4 linked regions of the Arabidopsis thaliana genome follow. The protein of the gene in region 2 interacts with the protein of the main gene of each other region in a pairwise test. Each region holds a gene or a part of one and is shown on either strand. Other genes may lie near its edges. The genes, in order: MEF9, MORF9, AT1G06790 and MEF21.

What was found.
Region 1: the proteins of MORF9 (region 2) and MEF9 interact in a two-hybrid assay, tested with the Arabidopsis thaliana proteins (one study listed by BioGRID).
Region 3: the proteins of MORF9 (region 2) and AT1G06790 interact in a two-hybrid assay, tested with the Arabidopsis thaliana proteins (one study listed by BioGRID).
Region 4: the proteins of MORF9 (region 2) and MEF21 interact in a two-hybrid assay, tested with the Arabidopsis thaliana proteins (one study listed by BioGRID).

The regions. Positions count from the first base shown.
Region 1 is NC_003070.9:22,996,272-23,002,683, forward strand, and holds MEF9 (mitochondrial editing factor 9), read right to left. Parts: upstream 3,559-6,412; 5' UTR 3,526-3,558; coding exon 1,555-3,525; 3' UTR 1,484-1,554; downstream 1-1,483. Other genes in the region: AT1G62250 (orotidine 5'-phosphate decarboxylase), read right to left, coding at 53-211, 301-426, 523-732; SLAH4 (SLAC1 homologue 4), read right to left, coding at 4,047-4,316, 4,393-5,220.
Region 2 is NC_003070.9:3,844,661-3,850,842, forward strand, and holds MORF9 (plastid developmental protein DAG), read left to right. Parts: upstream 1-2,559; 5' UTR 2,560-2,612; coding exon 2,613-2,974; intron 2,975-3,750; coding exon 3,751-3,848; intron 3,849-3,945; coding exon 3,946-4,011; intron 4,012-4,105; coding exon 4,106-4,278; 3' UTR 4,279-4,564; downstream 4,565-6,182. Other genes in the region: DUF2 (agenet domain protein (DOMAIN OF UNKNOWN FUNCTION 724 2)), read right to left, coding at 1-606, 731-815, 883-1,002, 1,092-1,178, 1,284-1,685, 1,778-2,212; AT1G11440 (uncharacterized protein), read left to right, coding at 4,758-5,849.
Region 3 is NC_003070.9:2,084,032-2,090,593, forward strand, and holds AT1G06790 (RNA polymerase Rpb7 N-terminal domain-containing protein), read left to right. Parts: upstream 1-3,150; 5' UTR 3,151-3,333; intron 3,334-3,611; 5' UTR 3,612-3,613; coding exon 3,614-3,724; intron 3,725-3,827; coding exon 3,828-3,923; intron 3,924-4,270; coding exon 4,271-4,358; intron 4,359-4,529; coding exon 4,530-4,614; intron 4,615-4,734; coding exon 4,735-4,804; intron 4,805-4,888; coding exon 4,889-4,978; coding exon of another isoform or gene 4,979-5,008; exon of another isoform or gene 5,009-5,181; coding exon 5,182-5,256; 3' UTR 5,257-5,416; downstream 5,417-6,562. Other genes in the region: GAUT6 (galacturonosyltransferase 6), read left to right, coding at 155-196, 287-368, 456-526, 777-1,048, 1,194-1,551, 1,685-2,206, 2,547-2,822; PLA-I{gamma}1 (alpha/beta-Hydrolases superfamily protein), read right to left, coding at 5,507-5,756, 6,115-6,562.
Region 4 is NC_003071.7:8,841,607-8,847,307, forward strand, and holds MEF21 (mitochondrial editing factor 21), read left to right. Parts: upstream 1-2,544; 5' UTR 2,545-2,553; coding exon 2,554-4,158; downstream 4,159-5,701. Other genes in the region: PHB6 (prohibitin 6), read left to right, coding at 694-858, 1,145-1,261, 1,373-1,543, 1,641-1,853, 1,987-2,181; AT2G20550 (HSP40/DnaJ peptide-binding protein), read right to left, coding at 4,445-4,880, 5,089-5,507.

The sequences.
Region 1 (6,412 bases), about 19 Mb from region 2:
CTTAGCTCATATATTAACCGATGATATCACAAGTTCGTTGTAACTAACTAACCTCAGACAGCGTAATTTTGGATTTAGTCTGTGTGCTTCCGCCGTAATTCTCCATTCTCTCAATCTCTAAACCCGAATCTTTCATAGCCATTAGTTCTTTTCTCAAATCTTCATCTGTGCAGCCGAGCGCATATGCATTCACACCAGCGGATATGAATTCCTGAAGATACACACACAAACAAATTAATGAAAGATGGATATACAATCGAGAAGAAAACAAGAATGACTCAAATAAAAAAAGGAAGTTACTTTTAAGGTTTCGCCTTCACCGCGTCCAATCACGGTCCTGTAACGTCTTAAAAGACTTATAGCTATGTTGGGTGATGAACGGTACTCATCATCCGATGAAATCGAGTTGTTGCGTGAGTTACAAAACTTGATGAAATCAAAAGAACAAACACAAAAAAACTTAGGAGCAGTATACAGATGGATGTATAACTTGCCGAAGAGACGAAAACTTTAATTACTAACCATCCATCTCCTTCGAGGCTGAATTTGATATTTTGTAGAAAAAGATGAATGATAACACTCTACATTGCTACAAGGAACTATTGATCTTGGGGAGACAGAACAACTAATCAGAGGACCAAAAGGCGAGGTCTTGAATCTGCGCAAAGCGGCATAGCAGCTAATAGGGATTTGGAATTTGTTGATAGTTCCCGCAGGATACGCAACTAACATTTCTTAACCATATCAATGAAGCAATGCCCTTATCTGCATAAGAGAGAAGCTTTTTTCTTTGAATAACACAACTATATTAGGAATTAAGATGTGTAAGAGTCTAAGATACATTGATGTTCTAGAAAAAAAAAATCAGCTTCCCTGTTCAAATTGAAAGTTGAAACCCTAATTTCATCTCTCAATTCATTCTTAGTCCTTAGAGATATCCATAAGTGGCAAAAAAGAAAACAAATTCAAATGATTTGGATTTGGAGATTAGCTAATATTGCGATCAGAAAATTTGTATTAGCTCAAGAAGAAAATCAAAACCTCTGATCTTTGGAAAGTGTCAAGAATCTCTTAATCATACTGGACCAATTCACAGATACTTACGATCATTTAAATACATCTGAGATTAAAAAGCAAGATATGAACAAAAAAAGGCTTACCTTTTTGAGAAATTCAGAGTCAGCAATTCATATGCAAACTTTTTGTGTGTTTTAATCGCTGCAAAGAATTGGATGAAGCACAAGCTACAAGTGTAAGAGGTGAATTTGAAGCCACCAATATTTTGAATGGCTGCAAAAAGAAAAACATCAAATTTTCAATCAATGTAGACAAAGATTCTTTTTATTTTATTTTTGGGCACTGGAAAAGAAAAACAGATAGAAGCAAACAAGAATCATGGGGATTCCCAAAACGATGTCGTTGGAATATGAGTCCAAATATGATGAAGAGAATTGAGAAAAGAGAGAACTTTCAAGAGTACCTTATCAATTTCTATCTCAATTCTGATCCCAAATCAATTTTTATGTTTAAGTAAACATAAATAAAGGCTGCTTTTTACGTTGAGGAGTCAACCCAACTGGATCCTCTTTCCTTCTTGATTCTTTTACTCTCCATGTTCATTCTCACTTGAGAAGCTTCGTCCCATAGTCCCATATCCGCATACATGTTATATAACAGTACATAAGGTGTTGAGCTCTCTGGTTCGAGTCTCGACATTGCTTCAGCTGCAACATGTGCAAGCCCTACATTGTTATATATCCTACAAGCATCCAATAATGCACCCCATACCGTTTTGTCTGGCTCAAAAGGCATACTCGTTATGATATACATGGCCTCTTCAAACTGCCCTTGTCCACTGGTAACGTTGACCAGGGAAGAATAATGTTCCATCTGCGGCTCGATCTTGTACACACTCATCATGGACACAAACTGTGCTTTAGCCTCATCAACAAGTCCCGCGTGAGCACAAGCGTTCAGAACTGAGACGAATGTTATGTGAGAAGGATATATCCCGTTGCTTTTCATCGACCCGAACAGATTCAAGGCCTCTGAGGCATTACCATGAAATGCATATCCTCCTATCATTGCATTCCATGTGATTACTTCTCTTTTGAGTTTCATTTCATCGAAGATTCTCCTCGACTCCATTATTTCACCGCATCTTGAATACATAGTGATAAGGGCATTGTGGACTGGAACATCGGGGATCACAGTCTTGACAACGATTTGGTGCATCTGCATTCCTAAACGCAGATTCACAAGCCCGGTAGATGCACTGAGAAGAGAAGTTAAAGTATGTGGGTCAGGCTTCTCTCCTTCAATGTTCATCCGGATAAACAAATCAACAGCTTCTTTGTAGTCCTTGTTTTTCTCATAAGCTGCTATTATCGAGTTCCACGAGACTGTATGTTTCTCAGGTGTTTTTTCAAAGTAGTGGCGAGCAAGCTCTACATTGCCAACACTAGCATAACCCGAGACCATCATGTTCCACGAATGTGCATCACGGTTCGGCATTTCCGAAAACAGAGCAAAAGCATCTTCCATCCTGGAAACATGTACGTATCCATCAATCATTGTGTTCCAAGAAATTGTATCGCGGTCTTTCATCTGATCAAATAGCAACCTTGCAGAGACCACATCACCCACTTTCAAGTAAGCTTTGATCATAGAATTCCATGACACAACATTTTTACAGAACCTCTCTCTAAACTCTCCACCATGATCATCACCACAGAGATCAGGAATCTGATCAAACAGACATCGAGCTGCTTCTACTTGTCCTCTCTGTCCATATCCAACAATCAAAGTGTTATAAGCATACACCAAATCTTCCCTTCCTGAAACTAAACTCCCATACTGACCCAAAACCCACGCAGCTTCTGAAAGTCTCTCGTTTTTAATAAGACCAGCCACAAGTGCACATAGAGGAGACGAATCCTTCACAGGCATTTTCCGAAACAACACAACCGCGCTATCCACTTCACCGTTCTGACAAAACCCAGTGATCATAGCACTCCATGACACTGCATTTCTCTCAGGCATTTTCTCAAATAACAACAACGCTTCACCTATCCTCCGATTCTTCGCATAACCACTAATCATAGTGTTCCATGAAAAAGAATCCCTTGAAGGCATTTCATCAAACAGCTTCCTTGCTTCCTCAAGAAACCTAATCCCACCACATGAAACATACCCCGAAATCATCGTGTTCCAAGTCACAACATCTCTCTTAGGCATTACGTCGAACAGTTTCCGTGCTTGATTCATTTCACGCCTTTTCACATACCCGCTTATCATCGTATTCCATGTCACTGTGTTCCTCGCTTCCAGTTTCTCAAAAATATCTCTAGCTTCGGCGATATACCCCGATCTTATCATCTGGTTTAACTCTTTGTTCGTCGCTCGAAAACCCAAGCTTGACGAAACTGAAGTAGAGAAAGAGTTTGCACATAATAAACACTTAAGACAAGACGATTGATACAACACCTTCCTGAAAATTAACAAGACACTTCGTGATCGGATCATCGTCGTCGCCGGCGAAATTTGCAGCGATCAAAAACTAAAAAAGCCTCTAGCTTTGAAAATTAGAGTCAGGTAAATTTGGTTCAGATGATGATGTAATGGACATTCTTCGGTTTACCATGTTTGAACCGGAAATCATTTGGTTCAATTCAGATAGTAAAATGTGTCTATTGTAAACCAAATTAGCCTCTGAGGCCTGACTCCTGAGATTTGGAAGAATCAGTCAGTGGAATGGAATTGATCAGTTGATTCTCACAGTCAGGTGAATTTTGATTTTACTGTGTTTAAACCGGTAATAACTCGGTTCAATTCAGCATTTCCGGTTTTATAGTATTTGAACCGGGTTTGATATCAGGTCAGATAGTAATTAGAGTAGAAATTTCTACAAATTGTATTACATAGTAGTCTGTAGTTGGTTGATCTTCCAACTGAAATTTTTTATCCAGCTAGTTTTGTAACTACTTTTACATACATTATTTTATGGGTAATTAGCTTTGGTTTACAAGTTTCGCCATACACGATGTTTATTTGTCTTTTGGACCAGTAGAAGACCAGAGGACATGATCACGTCTAAGTAATCTTTTGCTATTTGCTGCTGTCAGTAACATCACACTGATGAATATCAAAACTGACATGGATGAGAAGATAAACATCAAGACCGAAGCGACATGGTCTTTCACCTCTTGCGCGTACTGAACCGAGTTTAAAGCGAGAAATGTGATAGGAAACGAGTAAGCCCACCATGCGACATTGAATCTTTTTATCGACTTCTTCAAAAGATTTGGCCTACAAACCTGAAAATGTATAAGAAAAAGAATGTAAAAATGTCGGTTTTCGGTTTCTTGGTGTATCGTAAAGATGTAAACTTACCAGAGATATGAAGATGAAGAGTGAAAGGAAGAATAACATCTTGGCTATAGTATCAAAGTTTCCACAAATAGAGTTCCAAGCTAGACTTGCTGTGGCGGGTGCAGCGAAAAACAAGAAGAAAACCGGTCTTAGCGTGGTTGGGAAATTGTTTCCGCCTGGTAAGCGTTGATAAAGTGTAACAAAGATGACCAAATAGTGAACCATTCCAAGTGAGAATAAGCATAGAGCACACTCTTTCCAACCCATCTCTGCTGCTCCCCGCGCAGCCACTAGGTTTGCGATTACCGATACTTGGCTTGCCGGGTTTGCCATTATCGATAAAAACCTTTTCTCTGTTGTGAACCATTGACCATAAAGCTTTGTGTCTAAAGTCAAGACTGGAACAGCAAAGATCCAGAATAGTGTCTGATATAAAACGCTGTGTGGTTCTATCATAGGAGCTGATTGAAGCAATAGAAGACATGAAATGGATGGAGCGTAAAGATAGTTCACTCCAATATAGTGCGAGAACTCTTCCTTCACCATGTCAAAGAGAAAAATACACTTGAAGGCATACAAAAAACAGAGTGATACTTGTGTTGCAAGTGCTAGGTACCACAGGAGATAATACGCCATAGACGGGAGTTCGCTATGCAAATGCACCATAATCTTCCACAACAATGCTTGGCTACATAGAGAAAGGCTTATTCTGAAATATCCCGCATGGAGACTACTCAAAACAGACATCAGGACAATGGGTTCGGCATCTGCGAGGTTAGTCTTTCTCTCTTTGCGCCTCGATATTGTGTTATCAATCATGATGTGAATTTCTTGACTAGGTATTTCCATCTCGGTATATCGATGAAATAGAGCTTATTTTGCTCTATGTTGTGCTAACCTATAAAAAAAAGAATTCATGTACATAAGCATAAGGCAGAGAAATCAAAAGTACAAAACACAAGTTAGTGTTGGACATTCAGAAACTTTTGGTAAGTTCAATAACTTGTACAGTACATATATACATATCAACATCTTTTTCTTTTTTCTTTCGACATCAACACTTTTTTTTTCTTTTGATGAAGCGAAAATTCTTCTTCAAGCTTCATGAATAAACATCAAACCATTTCAATTGCTTATATCATCATAAATTCTTTCAGCTGATTTATAACTTTAAGTATTAGTTCCTTATAATTCATACAAAGTACTAAATGAAATATAGCTTATATAATTTAAATAAACCTGGATAATTTGCAGCGAAACGATTTAAAAATTGTTTTAATACTTCAACTGTCTGTGCTTCGCCAGTGTCTGCACACAGATTGTGGTATACTAATGTCGCCTAGATTCCTGAACTGTCTTCGGATTCTGGGTTGTCGTCTTAGATCCCCATTTCATCTATAAGACTATAACCAACGTTGACCATGAGCCCTTCTCAATAAGGGAGAGGAGATAATAATGTTGCCTTACGTAAAGATTCCTTATATAAAGAATTTATGTGATCCTAATATCCCTTTTTACTACGTCACGACGGCTATACAATTGTTTTTTTTTACATACAATTGTATACTATATACAATTGTTATATTTAGAAAATCTTTATAATTAACCTTAAAAACAAGTTTAATGTCGTTGGTTGACAAAAAGATGAAAAAGAAATTATAAGCAAAGACATACGATTAGATTTTTTTTTATTTTAGTAAGATGATTCCCAAAAGAAAGATATTTTCCTCAAAATATCCATTTGGTAAATGAACGATGGTAAACAATCTATATTTGTCAAACAAGTTGTAAACAAATATTTCAATTATATATCTATTAAATTTGTATGTTTCAACTTTCAACAGATTCGTTTCTTTCTTATTGGTCTCCAACAAAACAATTCAAATTTGGAAATGTGCTACCAATCAAAATCCTAAGCTTCACAGGTCTCAATCAAGTGAAAACAATTTTTTTAATTTTTTTTTACCCAACAAAAAAAAGTCGTTCTCACTTAGATTGGAACCTGCAAGCTACAAAAAAGCCGCTTAAAACATCTCCAACC
Region 2 (6,182 bases):
CCATCTGACATATCTTTTTCCAGGCTGCATCTTTCTGTTCTTTTTCTGCTTCCTTTTGTTCTTTTAGAGCAGCTTCTTGCCTCTGCAGCTCGATAATCTTGTGTTTCACCTCAAGAATCTTTTGTTCCATGTCATCAAACTCTTGTTTAGCCTTGCTAAATTCATTTGTCATCTCCTTGTCAAAACCTTTTAGTTCCTCCATTATATATAGTTGTCTATCTTTGAGTGCTAACAGCTTGTCGATCCGTGATAATGGAGTTGTAACATTGAAGCCATGTTTCTCGAGCTCCGAAAATGAATCTTTAAGGCTATTTAGTTGGCTTACAGGAACGTCGGCTTCAAGATCTTTAAATTTCTCCAGTAACCCAAAATAAGTCACCATCATACCTATTGCATACCCTTCACGGAAATCTTGCTTAGTCTCAAACAATGGGCTGAAATGAAGACTGTGTGATACACTTTTGAAGACCTCCAGTGATTCATAAGTCTTCCAGACCGGTGACTTCTTTGCAAAAGGCAAAACCATTATTGTGTGTTTTGCATGGTTTTCCTCAGCATTAGAAGCAGAATTCTTCACCACATTGGGGGTCCGATCCGAGGATAACACTGGACAGATGAACGCATACACAACACAATGAGAAAATAAAGGCTTATCTACCAGTAATAGTACAATGAGACCATTGCAAGCGGGTCCTACATTCCAGAATGTGCAATGAGAGTTAAGACATACCAGTCTTATTGATGTATGAATTGAGCTTTAGACCTCCTCTTTTCCTCTTTCGAGTATAATATTTGATCTTAGGCTCCTCAGGCATCTGTGCATAGAAGTGTTAAACCAAAAGGAGAGCCATCTCAAAGATAAATAACAATCATAAACAATACCTTCTCTCGAGTTGACTCATTTCCAAAGCCATTCTTCATTGGCACAGGGGATACCTTTCCTTGGGTTTTGTTCTTTGTTGCAGTTACCCCCAGGGTTATAGGTAAACCAGATTCTTTTTTCTGGAAAACAAAGACCATAGAACAATTTCAGGGCGTAGAAAACAAACAAGGTTATAAAAGAATCCACTAGCAGGGTTATGACCATATACCACATCATCAGCCATCTCATTTCCCGGTGGTTCCTTTGTCTGCACATTTCTGTTGCCGTCTAAAGAAGTTTCTTTCTGGCGTTTTGGCTGAAAATGGAAATAACATAACAACACTTCAATTAATCCTCAAAGATGTCACACTAATTAAACCAAACCAACACAATGTTGCCTGCAACTAGTGATACAATTTACCTTTGTTCTTTTATGCCAAACTCCATCTTCCCACTCCATTGGAGGCCTAATATCAGAGTGATTAAATTGCGATGCCTCCTTTGTTGCCCCGAAACTTACCATGTACCTTCCCTCAAAGACAATTCCCCTGACCACACCTTGACGCCATTCAAAACCACTAAACGCCTCTACATGATCCAGCAATTCATACTTTCCAACAGATAAAGGAGGCTGCATAGGCCTTAGTCTTAGGGAATCAACAATTAAATTTTTCGATTCCCGGCAGCTATAGGACTTATTCCAGTACTTGACAAGAAACCTCTTGTCCTTCTCCAACTCCTTAATGACAATTACCGGAATCCAAGCACAATCAAATCTCAATTCCACCATTGTCCCGCAACTAAAAACAGACTTGACCAATTCCTTCAAAGACAAAAAACAAACATACAACAACGGATAAAGTTAACAACTTTTTCATGCAAAGGCGAAACGATTTCAAAAAAAACTCATCATACCTTATTATCAGGTCGGATCCATTTGAAGCCGGTCCAATCAAGATGAACCCTCAATTTCTTTTTCTCAAACTGAATAATGTCTGGTGGGCAATCGAAGTAAACCAAAAACTTCTCATCCTCCATTGTTTTTACCACCACACCAGTCCACCACCCATCTTTGAGATAAGCGTCGACCATCAAGCCTTCTACAAAAACGACGCCGTCGTTCACATCCTCCGACGGGACAGGACGAATGAACCTCTGATCGACGAATTCCGTTAAAGGAGCCAAACGGTGTTCATTGAGCTGCGTCAAGTAACGAACTTTAAGCTTATTGTGTCCTGATTTCGTTGGATTATCTTCCAGAATCGCTCTGTAATAAGACCCTTTTAACTCTTCTTCTTCAGAAAAAACTTCTACTTTGTCGTCTTTTCTAATGAATATCATCTGCTCCATCTCAAAAACCCTTGAATGAAAACTAATAACGGCTCATTTTTGCTCTGCTAACCCTAAATCTAAAAAAAGACTTTTCTGCTGAAACCCGAAAACCATAGATATGATTATATGAAGGAGACTTTTTGCAACCAAAACACAGTGCTACTGTGTCTGTGCTTAGTGTCGATATTCACGATACACATCGGGGAAAGTGTGTTTTCTTTTTTTCTTTCCCAATTTACTTTTCTTTTTTTTTGGCGCTTGAAATTATGAGAAAATGATTTAAGAAATTATCAGGCCCAAACTATCTAATGGGCCTAATTAAAAACGGTGTCGTTTCATAGGATCCTCATCACGAAGCAGGTAAGTAAAAATATATCTTATCTTCTCCAAAACTCTCTCTTCGATTTCAGCAATTGCAATGGCTTCCTTCACAACAACTTCTTCTTCCTCGCTTCTCCTCAAAACTCTTCTCCCCGTAAGCCACCTGAATCGTTTCTCTACACTCTCTGGTATCCGCGTTGGCGATTCATGGACTCCTCTGCTCCGGAACATCTCCACCGCTGGGTCTCGGCGTCGAGTGGCGATTGTGAAAGCTGCGACGGTGGATTCGGATTACTCGTCGAAACGGAGCAATAGCAATGAGCAGAGAGAGACGATTATGCTTCCTGGTTGCGATTACAATCATTGGCTCATTGTAATGGAGTTTCCTAAAGATCCAGCGCCAAGTAGGGATCAGATGATTGATACTTACCTTAACACTCTTGCTACTGTTCTTGGCAGGTTCGTTTTCGCTTTCTTATTGATTCTCTTCGTTGTTGAATTAGTTAACTAATAGACGACATTTACTTGTGTTGCTAATGGACTTGTCCTTTGATTGAATCCAATGTTGCGTATAGGAAGATTTGGTTTTTTGTTAGATTAGGGTTTTTGATGATACTTTAGGGTAAGGGTTTAGTGAGCTGAGTAAAGCTTTCAGCTTTAAATTTGCTCTGAAGTTGACCTAGTTCCAGAATTTGTTCTTAATATCAGGTGTAATCTTTAGCTGACTTGTTTTTCGTCTCTTGATATGTGCAAACTTATTGAACATTGCTGCATATTGAACACAAAACATTGGTGTCTGATTTGATATCTAAAACTTTGTGCTCTTTAGCGTAATTATGAATGAAATTAGGGGGAAGAATAGAAGCATCTATTTTTGCATATTTTCTTCAAGCTATGTATAAATTGTAGGTGATTGTGCATGGTTTCTGTTTGTTAAAAACTTGATGTGGACAGTGTAAGCTAGTAATGTATGTAAAAGGAGTGTACAATTGTGCAGAGCATTAGATTGGGACTCCTGACTAGAAATTTCTTGGTATGGCAGGGAACGAGTTTGTGTTACACAACTAATGACTAAAACTTTAGTTTATTTGGTGCTACTCTCTATTTTAGAGAACTTTGATTCCGGTTTACACTATCCTGCTGATGTGATAACCAATTAATGTACTTGTGTCCATTTTCCAGCATAACCAGTTCATCGTGTTTGCTTATTATATGTACTTGTGTCTATTTTCCAGCATGGAAGAGGCGAAGAAGAACATGTATGCATTCAGTACCACGACATATACTGGATTCCAATGCACCATCGACGAAGAAACATCTGAGAAGTTCAAGGGTTAGTTAGTGAGCAAGAAGAGCCTTAGTCCCCTTATTGAAAGTTCGTCGAAAACCTTCAAGATACTGATCGTTCTGTCTTTTCATTATTTTCACAGGTTTGCCTGGAGTTCTCTGGGTCTTGCCTGACTCCTACATAGATGTCAAGAACAAAGACTATGGAGGTAACCCATCAAAGCCTGATTTTAAACTTTCTAGGATCTCTCTCTCTCCCAGTATCCATGTTCTGATAATTGAATCGTTCTTTCTCGGGTTTAGGCGACAAGTACATCAATGGAGAGATTATCCCGTGCACATACCCAACATACCAACCAAAGCAGCGCAATAACACTAAGTATCAAAGTAAGAGATACGAAAGAAAAAGAGACGGTCCTCCACCTCCTGAACAGAGGAAACCAAGACAAGAACCAGCAGCCTCTGATTCCTCTTAAACTATAATAAGATAATGGAGTGTTTGCAAGTTTTGATCTTTTGGTTAGCACTTAGCTTGTTGAAGTCGTGTGTAAAATCGTCTAGTACCAAATGATGATACTGTATCATCACACCTTGAACAATAGCTATTGTTATGTTAGGATGAAATTCAACTTGAACCATTTGTTTATTTAGGTAATGTTCGGTTTTGGTTTGGTTTGATTCTTTGTCAACCACTGCTTTTTCCCCACGTTTTCTCAACACCAATTTCAGACAAGACAAAACAATTGTAGGGTCACACACTCGTCACCAACTCACCATCTACATCAGTCGTCCCTACCTTATCAACACATCACATGGAAATAATACACTACTCTCTCACGGACTTGGAACCAAACATTCCAAATTAGTTTAATCGACAGATCACTGCTCAGCTGAATCGTTTTCTCTCATCAACCGCAGAGAAAGACTTTCAAGATCATCCTTCAAGCTCTCTCAAATGGCCAACTTCTATGAGAATTACCAGAGTCCTTACGATTACAATCAGGTTAATAATCTCTACGATCAAAATCATTATCATTACAATCAACAGCAGCAGCAGCTTGGTTTCGAACCAATGAGTTATAATTATTACAACTGGAATGAATCTGAATCTGAATCTGAATATGTTGCTTACTCTGGTTATGATGATCCAATGAGTTATAATTGTTATAACTGGAATGGATCCGAGTCTGAGACAACCTCTGCATATGTTGCTTACTCTGTTTCTACCATGTCTGAGCCTAAACACTTGTTCTATGATCCGAATCTCTATACAACCTACGAATCTCCTCCTCAGTTTAGTATCTATTGCTCTGTAGCCTCTGCTCTTGACTTCAACGAGCCGGAATTCGATGAATACGATCCCACGCCGTACGGTGGTGGCTACGATGTTGTTGCAACCTATGGAAAACCTCTTCCTCCATCGGTGGAAACTTGTTACCCTTGTTCAACCGCTCCTCACGCTAAAGCTCCCTCTCCTCCTGAGATTATTGCTCCTGTTCCTCTTGGAATTTATGATGGTGGTCAAAAGAATGTTGTCAAGAAACGTGTGTCTTTTGCTGAACCGGTAGAAGAAGTCAAACCAATAGAAACCATTAAAGAGCAAGAACAAGAACAAGACGAAGATTATGATGAAGAAAGTGAGGACGAAGATGATGGTGATGATGATGATGAAGAAGAAGAAGAAGGGGATGAGGAAGCTAAAGAAGAAGAAAAAGATCACAGTTCAAGCTATGGAAATGAGGAATATGAAGTCGTAGATAAAGGAGAAGTGAAAGCTTTGTATGTTCCGTCTGGTTACGGATTAGAAGCGACCGATCTCTGTGAGGTTATATTTGGAGGTTACTTTCCTTGTGTGTTACGTAACAAAAGACGTCAGGAAGATGAACAAGATCGTGGGGCTGCTGTTTCTTGCTGGGAAAGCAACGATTCTGATCCGTGGAAGACAACTTCCGATCACCTTTTCGGGGATTCATATCCGTACGGTTACGAGAATCGGAGCGAAAGAAATCAGTTCGAGGTCTCCTCTTATGGTTACCGGATGTATTAACAACCCTAGTTATCATCAGTTGTGTCAATGTGAGGTAAGAACAACATTCTTTTGATTATTGATGAACCTGATTTTTTAGTATCTGTTACACAAGAGATGAGATTTACTGTTGTATAACGAGGAGGGGTTACTTAATAATAAAACGTCGCACGCAAAATCTATCTTCAACCTTTCTATTTGTAACATTCTCTTTAACACGTTTGTTTAAAATCTAAAATCTTTAAATACTACACTCGATGTGATAATTGATTACTGTATCCATCGTAATTATTATTGGTATATATACATTTCTTTGTGAAAAACACCAAATAAATGAAAGAATTGTATCATGGT
Region 3 (6,562 bases), 1.8 Mb from region 2:
GTTCCTTAGTCTTCAATCTCTGGATTCATCTGTTTTCAGCATGCTGTTGATTTTGTGCCAAGTTTTCAGATCTCAGTCTTGTTTTATCATTCTCTTTATGCTTTATATTTCTCGAGCAATACACTGTTGTTGACATGCTACCATTATTCTGCAGAGATTCACGACAAATGACCTTAGACTTAGCGCTATTGAACATGTAAGTTGGAAGTTACAGGTTCCTCTAGGTCATCTCCTTAAAACCTTTTGACCATGCGTTTTGTTGAAGTTTTTTCTCTCTGTGATTTAGGAGGATGGAGAAGGCTTGAAGGGGCCAAGGCTCATTCTCTTCAAGGATGGGGAGTTTAATTCGTCTGCTGAAAGTGATGGTGGTGGGATCATATTTTCAATCTTGCTTTGATTTGCTCTGATGTCATTAACTCCTCAGATTTTTTATCTGTCGTAATCATGGGTTGTAGGTAATACTTACAAAAACAGGGAAGAACAAGTGATTGTTTCACAGAAGATGACAGTTAGCTCTGATGAAAAGGTGTGTATATATAAATACAACTGATTTGAAGATAACATGAACTTGATCAGTCCAGCTGATATAAAGTAACATGAACTTGATGATTGCTCAGGGTATGGAATAACTCCGATATTGAATCCTAGAATCAGATTACAAGTCATTGCGGTCCATGTTGATTAGTTTATCTAAGGAATAGAAAAGCCAAGTTTCACTTTCCATCAAATTATTAGATGTTTCATGATTACAATTTATTGGGTTTTTTTTGTGTCAGGGTCAAATTCTACCAACAGTCAACCAACTTGCTAATAAAACGGATTTCAAGCCCCCTTTATCTAAGGGTGAAAAGAACACAAGGGTTCAGCCCGACAGAGCAACAGATGTGAAAACGAAGGAGATCAGAGACAAAATTATTCAAGCTAAAGCCTACCTGAATTTCGCTCCACCTGGAAGTAACTCTCAAGTTGTGAAGGAGTTGAGAGGTCGGCTGAAAGAGCTGGAACGGTCTGTTGGTGATGCAACAAAGGACAAGGACTTATCAAAGGGGTAAGCACAACTGCTTGATTCAAAAGGAGAACATACCATAATTGCATTCAGAAATTTGCTGTTACAACTACAACCTTTTAGTGCCAAAAGTCGTGCTGTTTAAGAATATTATTTTAGTAACCTCTGACATGATTGTTTCTTTCAGCGCTCTCCGCAGGGTGAAGCCCATGGAAAATGTGTTATATAAGGCTAGTCGTGTCTTTAACAATTGCCCTGCCATCGCTACCAAACTCCGTGCCATGAATTATAACACAGAAGAACAAGTTCAGGCGCAGAAAAATCAAGCAGCGTATCTAATGCAGCTTGCAGCAAGGACCACCCCAAAAGGGCTTCACTGTCTCTCAATGCGGCTGACATCAGAATACTTTTCACTGGATCCTGAAAAAAGGCAGATGCCTAACCAGCAAAATTATTTTGACGCTAATTTCAATCATTATGTTGTCTTCTCTGACAATGTTTTGGCTTCTTCAGTCGTTGTTAACTCTACGATATCTTCATCAAAGGTATCATGCATTTCTTATACAAATTTCTACTTGGTTATCATTATATGTTATACCTAATTTTAGAGTGTCTTACACTATATCTTCTCATTTACTTCCGCCACTTATTAATGTGGCTTCTGATTGCTGTTTGCAGGAGCCAGAAAGAATAGTCTTCCATGTCGTGACTGATTCACTTAATTACCCAGCAATCTCAATGTGGTTTCTGCTAAACATTCAAAGTAAAGCTACTATCCAAATCCTAAACATTGATGATATGGATGTCCTGCCTAGAGATTATGATCAATTACTGATGAAGCAAAACTCTAATGACCCAAGATTCATTTCTACACTCAATCACGCACGCTTCTATCTCCCGGATATATTCCCGGGTTTGAACAAGATGGTACTCTTGGACCATGATGTAGTTGTTCAAAGAGATTTAAGTAGACTGTGGAGCATTGATATGAAAGGAAAGGTGGTTGGAGCTGTAGAGACTTGTCTTGAAGGTGAATCTTCATTTCGATCAATGAGCACATTTATTAATTTCTCAGACACATGGGTCGCTGGGAAATTTAGTCCTAGAGCTTGCACATGGGCTTTCGGGATGAATCTAATTGATCTCGAAGAATGGAGAATACGGAAGTTGACTTCTACATACATAAAATACTTCAACCTGGTACGCTATATACACACACACACTCTACTGCACTTGCTCTCCCTATGGAAATAACACTGTAGCCATATTCAAAGTTTTCAAATGGGTTCTTAGATTTGTTGATTCGTCATTATATATGAAAAAGATTGTAATAATTATTAGGTTTTAGGTTGGCTATATCGAGGATGAAAGGTTTTGAATTTAGAACACAAATAACATTGCTGTAACTAGCAAAGAACATAAGCAAGCTAGTGCTAAAGATCATCTCCTAGAAGAAGAATGGTTACAAGCAACAACATATCTTGTCTATGTAATGGGCGTAAACCTAACAATGGTTTTGGGGAATTTGTTTTTTTGGCAGGGAACAAAGAGACCATTGTGGAAAGCTGGGAGCTTACCAATAGGTTGGTTGACTTTCTATAGGCAAACATTAGCATTGGACAAGAGATGGCATGTGATGGGGTTAGGTCGCGAATCAGGAGTCAAAGCGGTTGACATCGAACAAGCGGCAGTTATACACTACGATGGGGTCATGAAGCCGTGGTTGGACATTGGAAAAGAGAATTACAAACGTTACTGGAACATACACGTCCCTTACCATCACACCTACTTGCAACAGTGCAATCTTCAAGCTTGATACGAAAAAAAAAAAAAAAAAATCTGGCAACTTAGGTTCAGTTTCAGATTCTTTTTGTTAAACAAGCTACTCAAGCATGATATCAATGTTATGATTAGCTTCATTCTTTATCCCACATCAGTGTATATCTTGGTTCTTCTTTTTTCACACTTTTCATCAGAGCTTAATATTACTTAGACTATAGTGACAGGCTGACAGCAACAGATTGTTGTCATACCTTGGACTTGGCCCAATTTCCTTTTTTGGCCCACCGGTATGAATAAAAAGAGTGCGGTTTTCAGTTCGGTTCGGTTTATAAGCGTAACGATGACAAACCGATCGGTTTGTTTTAATTCTTGACTTTAATAACTAAACCCTAAATCGTTCTTCTTCTTCCGCATCTTCCTCACTCGATTAGTAGGTTCTCTCTTCTTCCAATCTATTCCCAACTTCTCACTTTTCCGTCTAATCGTTGTCTTCATCACCATCTCTCCGAGTTCCCTTCGAGACCATCTTATCTTCAATGGTTTAGGTATTGCCCGATTTTAGATAGTTTTGTTCTCTCGTATAGTTATGACAATGGCAGATTTTTGTACGCTCTGCACATGCTTAATCTTGAGGATTGGGCTATTATTACGTACTATGATTTAATGAATTTTAGATTTGAATTTTGGAACTTTTGATGATATGCATGTTAATGACCAAGAATGCTCCGAATTTGTCTGATTCGTTATTCGAATTCTACTTCTTTGATTGTTTGTTTCCAATTTTCCATGCATCTGACTTGTGAATTTTGAACAAAATTTTCAGAAATGTTTTATCTTAGCGAGCTAGAACATTCACTAAGAGTGCCTCCGCATCTACTTAATCTCCCTCTCGAAGATGCCATTAAGTCAGTGCTTCAAAATGTGTTCTTGGACAAGGTTTGCTCATTGCCCTTTTTCTTTCACTTTTATGGTATCCATTGTTTGCTTATTTATATACACACCTGGCTAATTTTATCAAAGTGGATTTTTGCTATGAAAGGTTTTAGCTGATTTGGGGCTTTGTGTATCTATTTACGACATTAAATCAGTAGAAGGAGGGTTTGTGTTACCCGGTGATGGTGCTGCGACCTATAAGGTATATCCAAATTGCTGATCTTTTCTCATCTCTATTCTTTTATCAGTTGAACATGGTTTTTTATATCAATTTTATGGCCTCCCAATGTCACTGTTAGTGGCATCATTGTTGACCTATCACCGTGTATTGCACACTTTCTGCACTGTATTGAGTTACATCTTTGTAGACTCATCATTACCGTACTAGAGTTTCAAACCATTCTGAGATTTTGGTTCTTCGGAATCGTTATCTGTTAGTCTAACTTTCACTGTACGGTTTTGGTTAAGAATTTTATTTTCAAAAGTTTTATCTTGCCTTGATTCAATATCTCATGTCGTGTTGTTAATACTTTGTTTGTGTGATTGTAGGTAGGTCTTAGAATTGTTGTGTTCCGTCCATTTGTTGGTGAGGTCATAGCTGCAAAGTTCAAAGAATCTGACGCCAATGGCTTGCGCTGTGAGTACTTTATTATACTGTTCCCTGAAGAATTCCAATGTTGTGCACTGTCTGCATCCTGCTACTCTAGTACATTGTTAGCTTATTAGCTACTTATGAATTGGATTAATACTTTGAAATCATGGATATGGTTAATCATTTACATGCTTACGGTACCTCTATACTTGGCAGTAACACTTGGATTCTTTGACGATATTTATGTGCCTGCTCCACTTATGCCGAAACCCAACCGCTGTGAGCCTGACCCTTATAATAGGTAAGAATATGTGTCCTGCAGTTTATGTAGTACTACCAGCTCTCCAACTATGAGTAGGAGATTGCACCAACATCTTTATATATCATTTGATCACAAAGTATAATGTTTTTTGGTTCACAGGAAGCAAATGATATGGGTGTGGGAATATGGAGAACCGAAAGAAGACTATATTGTTGACGATGCCTGTCAGGTGAATTTTTGGTTCCTGCATGTATCTTTAAGCATAATTATCTGAATGTGGTATGTTTTTATAACGAGGCATTGTAAATGGCAGATCAAGTTTCGAGTAGAGAGCATCAGCTATCCATCAGTTCCAACTGAGCGAGCAGAGGACGCAAAGCCTTTTGCTCCAATGGTGGTCACTGTAAGTTCATTCATCAAACTCATTCTCTGAAACTTTTCCACTTGTATATGCATTATAAACAACGCTAGTTAAGTAAGGTCAGATAAGCCTCCTGATTCCCTCCTCTCTTATAGATACTTAACTTTTATTTTGAGACACCATGATTTTTTGTTTTGGTTTTCCTACGTCGGTCCAGTGGTCAATCAATCTTGTGTACTGCGCAGGGGAATATGGATGATGATGGTTTGGGTCCTGTTTCTTGGTGGGATTCTTATGAACAGGTTGATCAAGAAGAGTGAGTGACCGAAACAGGTGGGATTCTTATGAACAGGTTGATCAAGAAGGGTGAGAGACCGAGACTTAGTCTAGGCATTGTCAGATGAAATTTTAACAGATGATGATCAAGCCAGTTTTGATGAAAACTTAAAATTTATTTTAAACTATGCACGGGTTTTCACTAAGATAGGGACGTTCAATTTTGTTTATCTGTAATGTAAAAAGGCAATGACACAAATTAGGAAGATTAAAAACCAAAAAAAAATCGATAAATTACAAGAGTTGTGATGGATGATGGAGTTGGGTGAGGAGTTGATGTATGTCAGGAGCATGTTGATCATCTGCACGGATGCGATCAGGTTGAATCCAACGGCCGTCAGTGTTCCTCACCATCCCTTTGTTTGCGTCTTGGCGCCAATAAGGAGGGACCATGAAATGGTCTTTCAAAAAATCAGATGCTTTGTTCACTAACGCTGGATCTCTCCCACTTGATAACACAAATCTCTGTCCTTTCCCATGATACCTATGTTTTTTTAAACAATAATCCAGATTCATCAACTCATACTAATACTATTATGCTCTAAACGACAAATTTATTTCCTAGTAGTTTTCGATAATTAAATTCTCTCCAACCTACCCATGAAAGAAAGAAGTGCCACGTAAATCAGATTACTAAATGACCCCATTATTCTCCATTCGGCATTTGATGAGGCAATAATGTTTACCAAATTTTTGAAAATCGTATTAATAAAGAAATGGTGTTGGAAAATGTGGACATTGAGATCTGTCTCCTCAAAGGCTTTTGACTTGTCAAAATATTAGCTGGAAATCTTAAAATTACTTTTTAAAGTAAAAAAGTAATAAAAAGAAGAATGACTGACCCGTCAAGGAGATGGAGGAGAGCTTCCAAGTTATGAGCCGTAGAAAGATCAACGGTGGGCTTAAGGAACGGAGACTTCTGATGATCCAACGGCAGCATTTCTCCCACGTGGCTATAGCACCACGGCAATCCTCCCGCCAATTTCATTAGCGCCTGTGGCGCACGCTCGTTCAGAAACAGTCCCGGCGATTTCGCCACGACGTCGTGCTCGTTCACCACTCTCAACACCTTCACTCCCAATTTCTCAATCCTCTCCTTGAATCGAATGTTCCCAACTCGCGGTCCTCCGTACGTGAACGCCGTCACCGGAATCACTTTTCCTTTCCTCGTTCTGTTCACACCCATCTCCGCCACGTCGTACGCGCTTAGCACCGCCAGCGCACCGCCGAGACTGTGTCCCGTCACGGTGATGCTCAGTTCTTCTCCTTCCTCGTCGCCGTACCTTTCCA
Region 4 (5,701 bases), on a different chromosome or scaffold from region 2:
CATCATCTATATCTCACTTTATATAAGTTAAGAAATTTCATTTAGGTTTAGTAGTAAATCATCAAGAAGTTTAGAGCCTTTGCAGTTTGCAACAAAATATGGGTTTGAAAGTTACATTTTTGAAAAGTGATAATAATTAATCTACTATCTATTAATCAAAATGAGAATTATTTCTTTTGTATAGAAAGTAAGGAAATGTCAAATATGGCCGTTTATATATTAAGAAAAATAAATAAAAATCGTTTACTAAAAAAAAAATATATTAAGAAAAATAAATAAATTAGTGAATTCACTAATGGGCCTGAATACAAATTTTGGGCCCAAAGATCTCTAGTAACAGAAAATGCGTGATCGACCAAAGCGTCAACAAAATCCTGATTTCTGAGCTTTAAACCCTAACCCCTCTCTTCTCTCTTCTCCACGCCATTTCCAGAATTTTCAGGTACTTCCTCTCGCCATTTTCATTATAGATCGAATTCTTAGTTTAAGCGAGTAAAGCTTCAGATTCTTCGGCTTCAATTTTGTGATCTAAGTTTTTGTTTCGTTTCAGCTAATTTGCAGATTATCTTTGTCTCTTTTTCGTTGATCCAAGTTTTCCTTGGGTCTAATCTACAAACGCATTTCGTTTCTCTATTTATCTGTTTCTGCCTTGGATTTTGATTGGGTTCCAAATTTGCAGGTGTTCGTGAAAAGATGAATTTTAAGAATGTCAAAGTTCCCAAAGGTCCTGGTGGTGGTGTTATAGCTGCGGTGGTTATTGGGGGGCTCAGTCTTTACGGTGCTACGCACACTCTCTACAATGTCGATGGAGGTCATCGAGCCATTGTCTTTAACCGGCTTGTTGGTATCAAAGACAAGGTTAGTCCCTGCAAAAATTGGTTTCTTCTGAATCTGTATATTGACAATGAATCTTGTGGTTGTGACATCTAGCTGAAGTTAGGTTAGGCTTAGCATTACTAGTGAATCTTATGTTTGCGGCATATAGCTCACGTTAGGTTAGGCTTACCGTTAGTAGTGAATCTTGTGTTTGCCGCATCTAGCTTAAGTAAACAAGGTTGATTTCTTAGTCTAGTTTTGATAGTCGTTTACAAAAGTCATCTTGATGCGCCATTAATAGTATATCTTTGCTTGCTTGATTATGTAGGTCTACCCTGAGGGTACTCACCTTATGATTCCATGGTTCGAAAGGCCAATCATCTATGACGTTCGTGCAAAGCCTTATCTAGTTGAGAGCACATCTGGGAGCCGTGATCTCCAGATGGTATTCCGCTTCATTTCATCACTTCTAATACTAATGGGTATAATCAGGTCGTGTGGTTTTGTCGTGTGAACTACATGATAAGCTTATGTTGTGTGGTATTTAAACATTCAGGTTAAGATTGGGCTTCGGGTTCTCACCCGTCCTATGGCTGACCAATTACCAGAGGTATACCGGTCCCTTGGTGAGAATTACCGCGAGAGAGTCTTGCCTTCTATCATCCACGAGACCTTGAAAGCTGTGGTTGCTCAGTACAACGCAAGCCAACTTATTACTCAGAGAGAGGTTAGCCAACTGGCTGTAAATACATTTTATTGATTCCTCTTCAATGGTAAATTGATGTCCCTTTTAATGGATATATGTTTTTTTGGTGTTTTTCAAGTCGGTGAGTAGAGAAATCAGGAAAATCCTAACTCTAAGAGCCGCAAACTTCCACATTGCACTGGATGATGTGTCCATCACAGGCTTGACATTCGGAAAGGAGTTCACGGCAGCCATAGAAGGAAAGCAGGTCGCTGCTCAAGAGGCCGAACGGGCTAAGTTCATTGTCGAGAAAGCTGAACAGGACAAGAGAAGTGCTGTTATCCGCGCCGAGGTGTGAAAAGTGTTTCTCTCTTTTCTAGCATTTTAAAAACCGGAGATTGTGTTAAAGCTTGCTTTTTTTTTTCTTTTTTGTTGTGAACTATTTTAAAGCTTGCTAACTGATGTTTCTGCATGGGTTTATGTAGGGAGAAGCCAAGAGTGCTCAGCTCATTGGTCAAGCAATCGCAAACAACCAAGCGTTCTTAACACTGAGGAAGATCGAAGCAGCTAGAGAGATCGCACAGACCATCTCTAGGTCGGCGAACAAGGTTTACTTGAGCTCTAACGATCTGTTGCTTAACCTACAGGCTATGGACCTTGATGTGAAGCCGAAGAAGTAGAGAATGATATGATTAAACCACACCAGAGCTCTTCTTCCATAATCGTATTTTCAATTCACGGATTCTTAGACCAAAAGCTATGAGTTCTATCTTGTGAATTTCAGACACTATCGTGCGTTTGTAGTCTTTCTTTTGTGAGATCAAGAAGAAAAGAAAAGATTTATGTTTTTACAAGTTGTTTACATTTGGTAATAATGATGTTCACAAAGCTGGAAAATAGGCTGTGAAAAAGATCAAACAAATGGGCCTGAAAATGAGAATTGGGCTTTTGGCCTAAGTTTGGTGAACCCCGAGAGACACACATCTGGGTTTAACGACGTTAGGTCGGAGCCAATTTGATTCCACCACCACGAGCTTCCTAATCTAGCTTTAATGGCGTTTCATGGAATCAGAGAAGTTGAAAACTATTTTATACCTTTTCTACAGCGAGTCAAAAGCCGCAATGAATGGAAGAAGATCAATGCCTCCATCATCATACATGGATTATCACAAAGCAGCTTCATGGTCACTAAAATGGTGGATTTTTGTGATAAGATTGAAGATATGGATTATGCAACTCGTCTTTTTAACCAAGTATCGAATCCTAATGTCTTCTTATACAATTCTATAATTCGTGCTTATACTCACAATTCATTGTACTGCGATGTGATCAGAATCTACAAGCAACTGCTCAGGAAGAGCTTTGAGTTACCAGATCGGTTCACTTTCCCGTTTATGTTTAAATCTTGTGCGAGTCTTGGATCATGTTATTTAGGGAAGCAAGTTCATGGTCATCTCTGCAAATTCGGGCCTAGGTTCCATGTTGTGACTGAGAATGCATTGATTGATATGTACATGAAGTTTGATGATCTTGTTGATGCACATAAAGTGTTTGATGAAATGTATGAGAGAGATGTTATATCTTGGAATAGTTTGCTTTCTGGATATGCAAGGCTTGGGCAGATGAAGAAAGCAAAAGGCTTGTTTCATTTGATGCTAGATAAAACTATTGTATCTTGGACTGCGATGATCTCTGGGTATACTGGGATTGGTTGTTATGTAGAGGCTATGGATTTCTTCCGTGAAATGCAGTTAGCTGGTATTGAGCCTGATGAGATCAGTCTCATTTCTGTTTTACCGTCGTGTGCGCAGCTCGGATCTCTAGAGCTTGGGAAATGGATCCATCTATATGCAGAGAGAAGAGGGTTTCTGAAACAAACTGGTGTTTGCAATGCTCTTATTGAAATGTACTCGAAATGTGGTGTGATTAGTCAAGCTATCCAATTGTTTGGCCAAATGGAAGGGAAAGATGTTATATCATGGAGTACGATGATCTCTGGGTATGCATATCACGGGAACGCTCACGGAGCAATCGAAACATTCAATGAAATGCAGAGAGCGAAGGTGAAGCCTAACGGGATCACATTTCTTGGTCTTTTATCAGCTTGTTCACATGTTGGTATGTGGCAAGAAGGGTTGAGGTATTTTGATATGATGAGACAAGATTATCAAATAGAACCTAAGATCGAACACTATGGCTGTTTGATTGATGTTTTGGCAAGAGCAGGAAAACTAGAACGAGCTGTTGAAATAACAAAGACAATGCCGATGAAACCCGACTCGAAGATATGGGGTTCATTGTTGAGCTCTTGCAGAACACCAGGCAATCTTGATGTTGCTCTGGTTGCAATGGATCATCTTGTGGAGCTAGAGCCGGAGGATATGGGAAATTATGTTTTGCTTGCCAATATTTACGCAGATTTGGGAAAATGGGAGGATGTTTCGAGATTGAGAAAGATGATAAGGAACGAAAATATGAAGAAAACGCCAGGTGGTAGTTTGATAGAAGTGAACAACATTGTTCAGGAATTCGTTTCAGGAGATAACAGTAAACCTTTTTGGACTGAGATATCTATAGTGCTGCAGTTGTTTACTTCACATCAAGATCAGGATGTGATTACAAACAACAATGCTCTTGCATTTATAGGCATAGTTTAGAAGCGTTTGGATTATAGAAGAAGTAGCAAACTTATTAGGCGTCTTCAATCATACATATGTTACAAATCGATCAGAAATATACAACAGTATTTAATTATACATACGTTACAAATCGATCATAAAGGTCACAACAGTACTCATTCATACATATGCTACAAATCGATCAGAAAGGCCACAACAGTATTTAATCACAATATATAGGAGCTTTGATACTTCCTCTCGTATTCTACATTGTTTTGTCTGGACTGGGCTGATTTTAACTGGACTGGGCTGATTTTAACTCCATTCATCCGAGAAGTTTCTTCAATCCTGTCTTCTGCTCTGAGGTTAACGTTGTAGGGAACTTGATGTTAAATTTGATCCTCAAGTTGCCTTTCTTAGCCTGGTCTTTCTGCAACGGCATTCCTTCATTTGGAACCACTTCCACATACTCGGGATGGATCACAGTGTTGACTGGGATGGTCAGTCTCCGACCATCAAGTGTAGTCAGGTTGACGGTGTAGCCGGTAAAGGCCTCGAGAACTGAGATCTTCTGTGTGACTACGAGGTCATTACCCTCTCGAGTGAAAACCGGATGAGGCTTCTCATCTATGATGAAGACTAAATCCGCTGGTATCACACCGGGTTGCTCATTTCCTTTCTCCGAGAATGTGATCTTTGTGCCTGTCTTCCACCCCGGTTTCACATCAACAGTCAAAATCTCTTGTACCTGCGTCGTCTTGCTGCAAGTTTTTTTCAAAAGAAAACACATAAACTGGTCAGCATATGCGATTTTTGCCACTCAACAAGGTTATCAAGTATGATCAATGTTCTGCTTTCATTATGTATTGCCAAACGAACACCCTAACTAACGCTTTCTTAAGATGAGTGGCTAACCTAAAGAGTTCCACTTGGTGTTCACAAATAAGAAATGGAATGGTCATGACTTACCCAAAGACACCAGCAATCTCTCTAGAGATCTTCATCTTCTTGGTGGTTCCTTTGTAAAGATCTTCAAGGCTACAAGGCAACTTTTTTTCAACAGGAGCTGCCTTCCTAGCTCCACCGTGATGCATTGTGCCACCACCACCACCTCCTCCTTCTCTGCCTCCACTGCTGCCACTGCCAGAAGGGCTAGGGACCCCAAAGTACTCAGCAGATATATCATCCTTATCTCTCGGACCAGAAGGGTTAGAGACCTCAAAGAACTCAGAAAATATATCATCCTTATTTCTTGGACCAGAAGGGCTAGAGACCCCAAAGAACTCAGAATATATATCATCCGCATTTCTGGGACCAGAAGGACCAGAAGGTCTAGAGACCCCAAAGAACTCAGAAAATATATCATCTGCATTTCTCGGGTGACTCATGTTTCTTCTCAGAGTGTGGAATGAATGTTCCAGAAATCGTTCTGAAACCGGGAAAATAATGAGATTAGTACAATCCGTTCCAGAGACTCACCGTGAGCTGAGGAAAGGAGAAAAGTGATTTGTGCAGAGAATAATCACCGGATTGTGGGAGTAGGACGATGATGATGACCAAGGATGAACTGTACCGAGAGTAA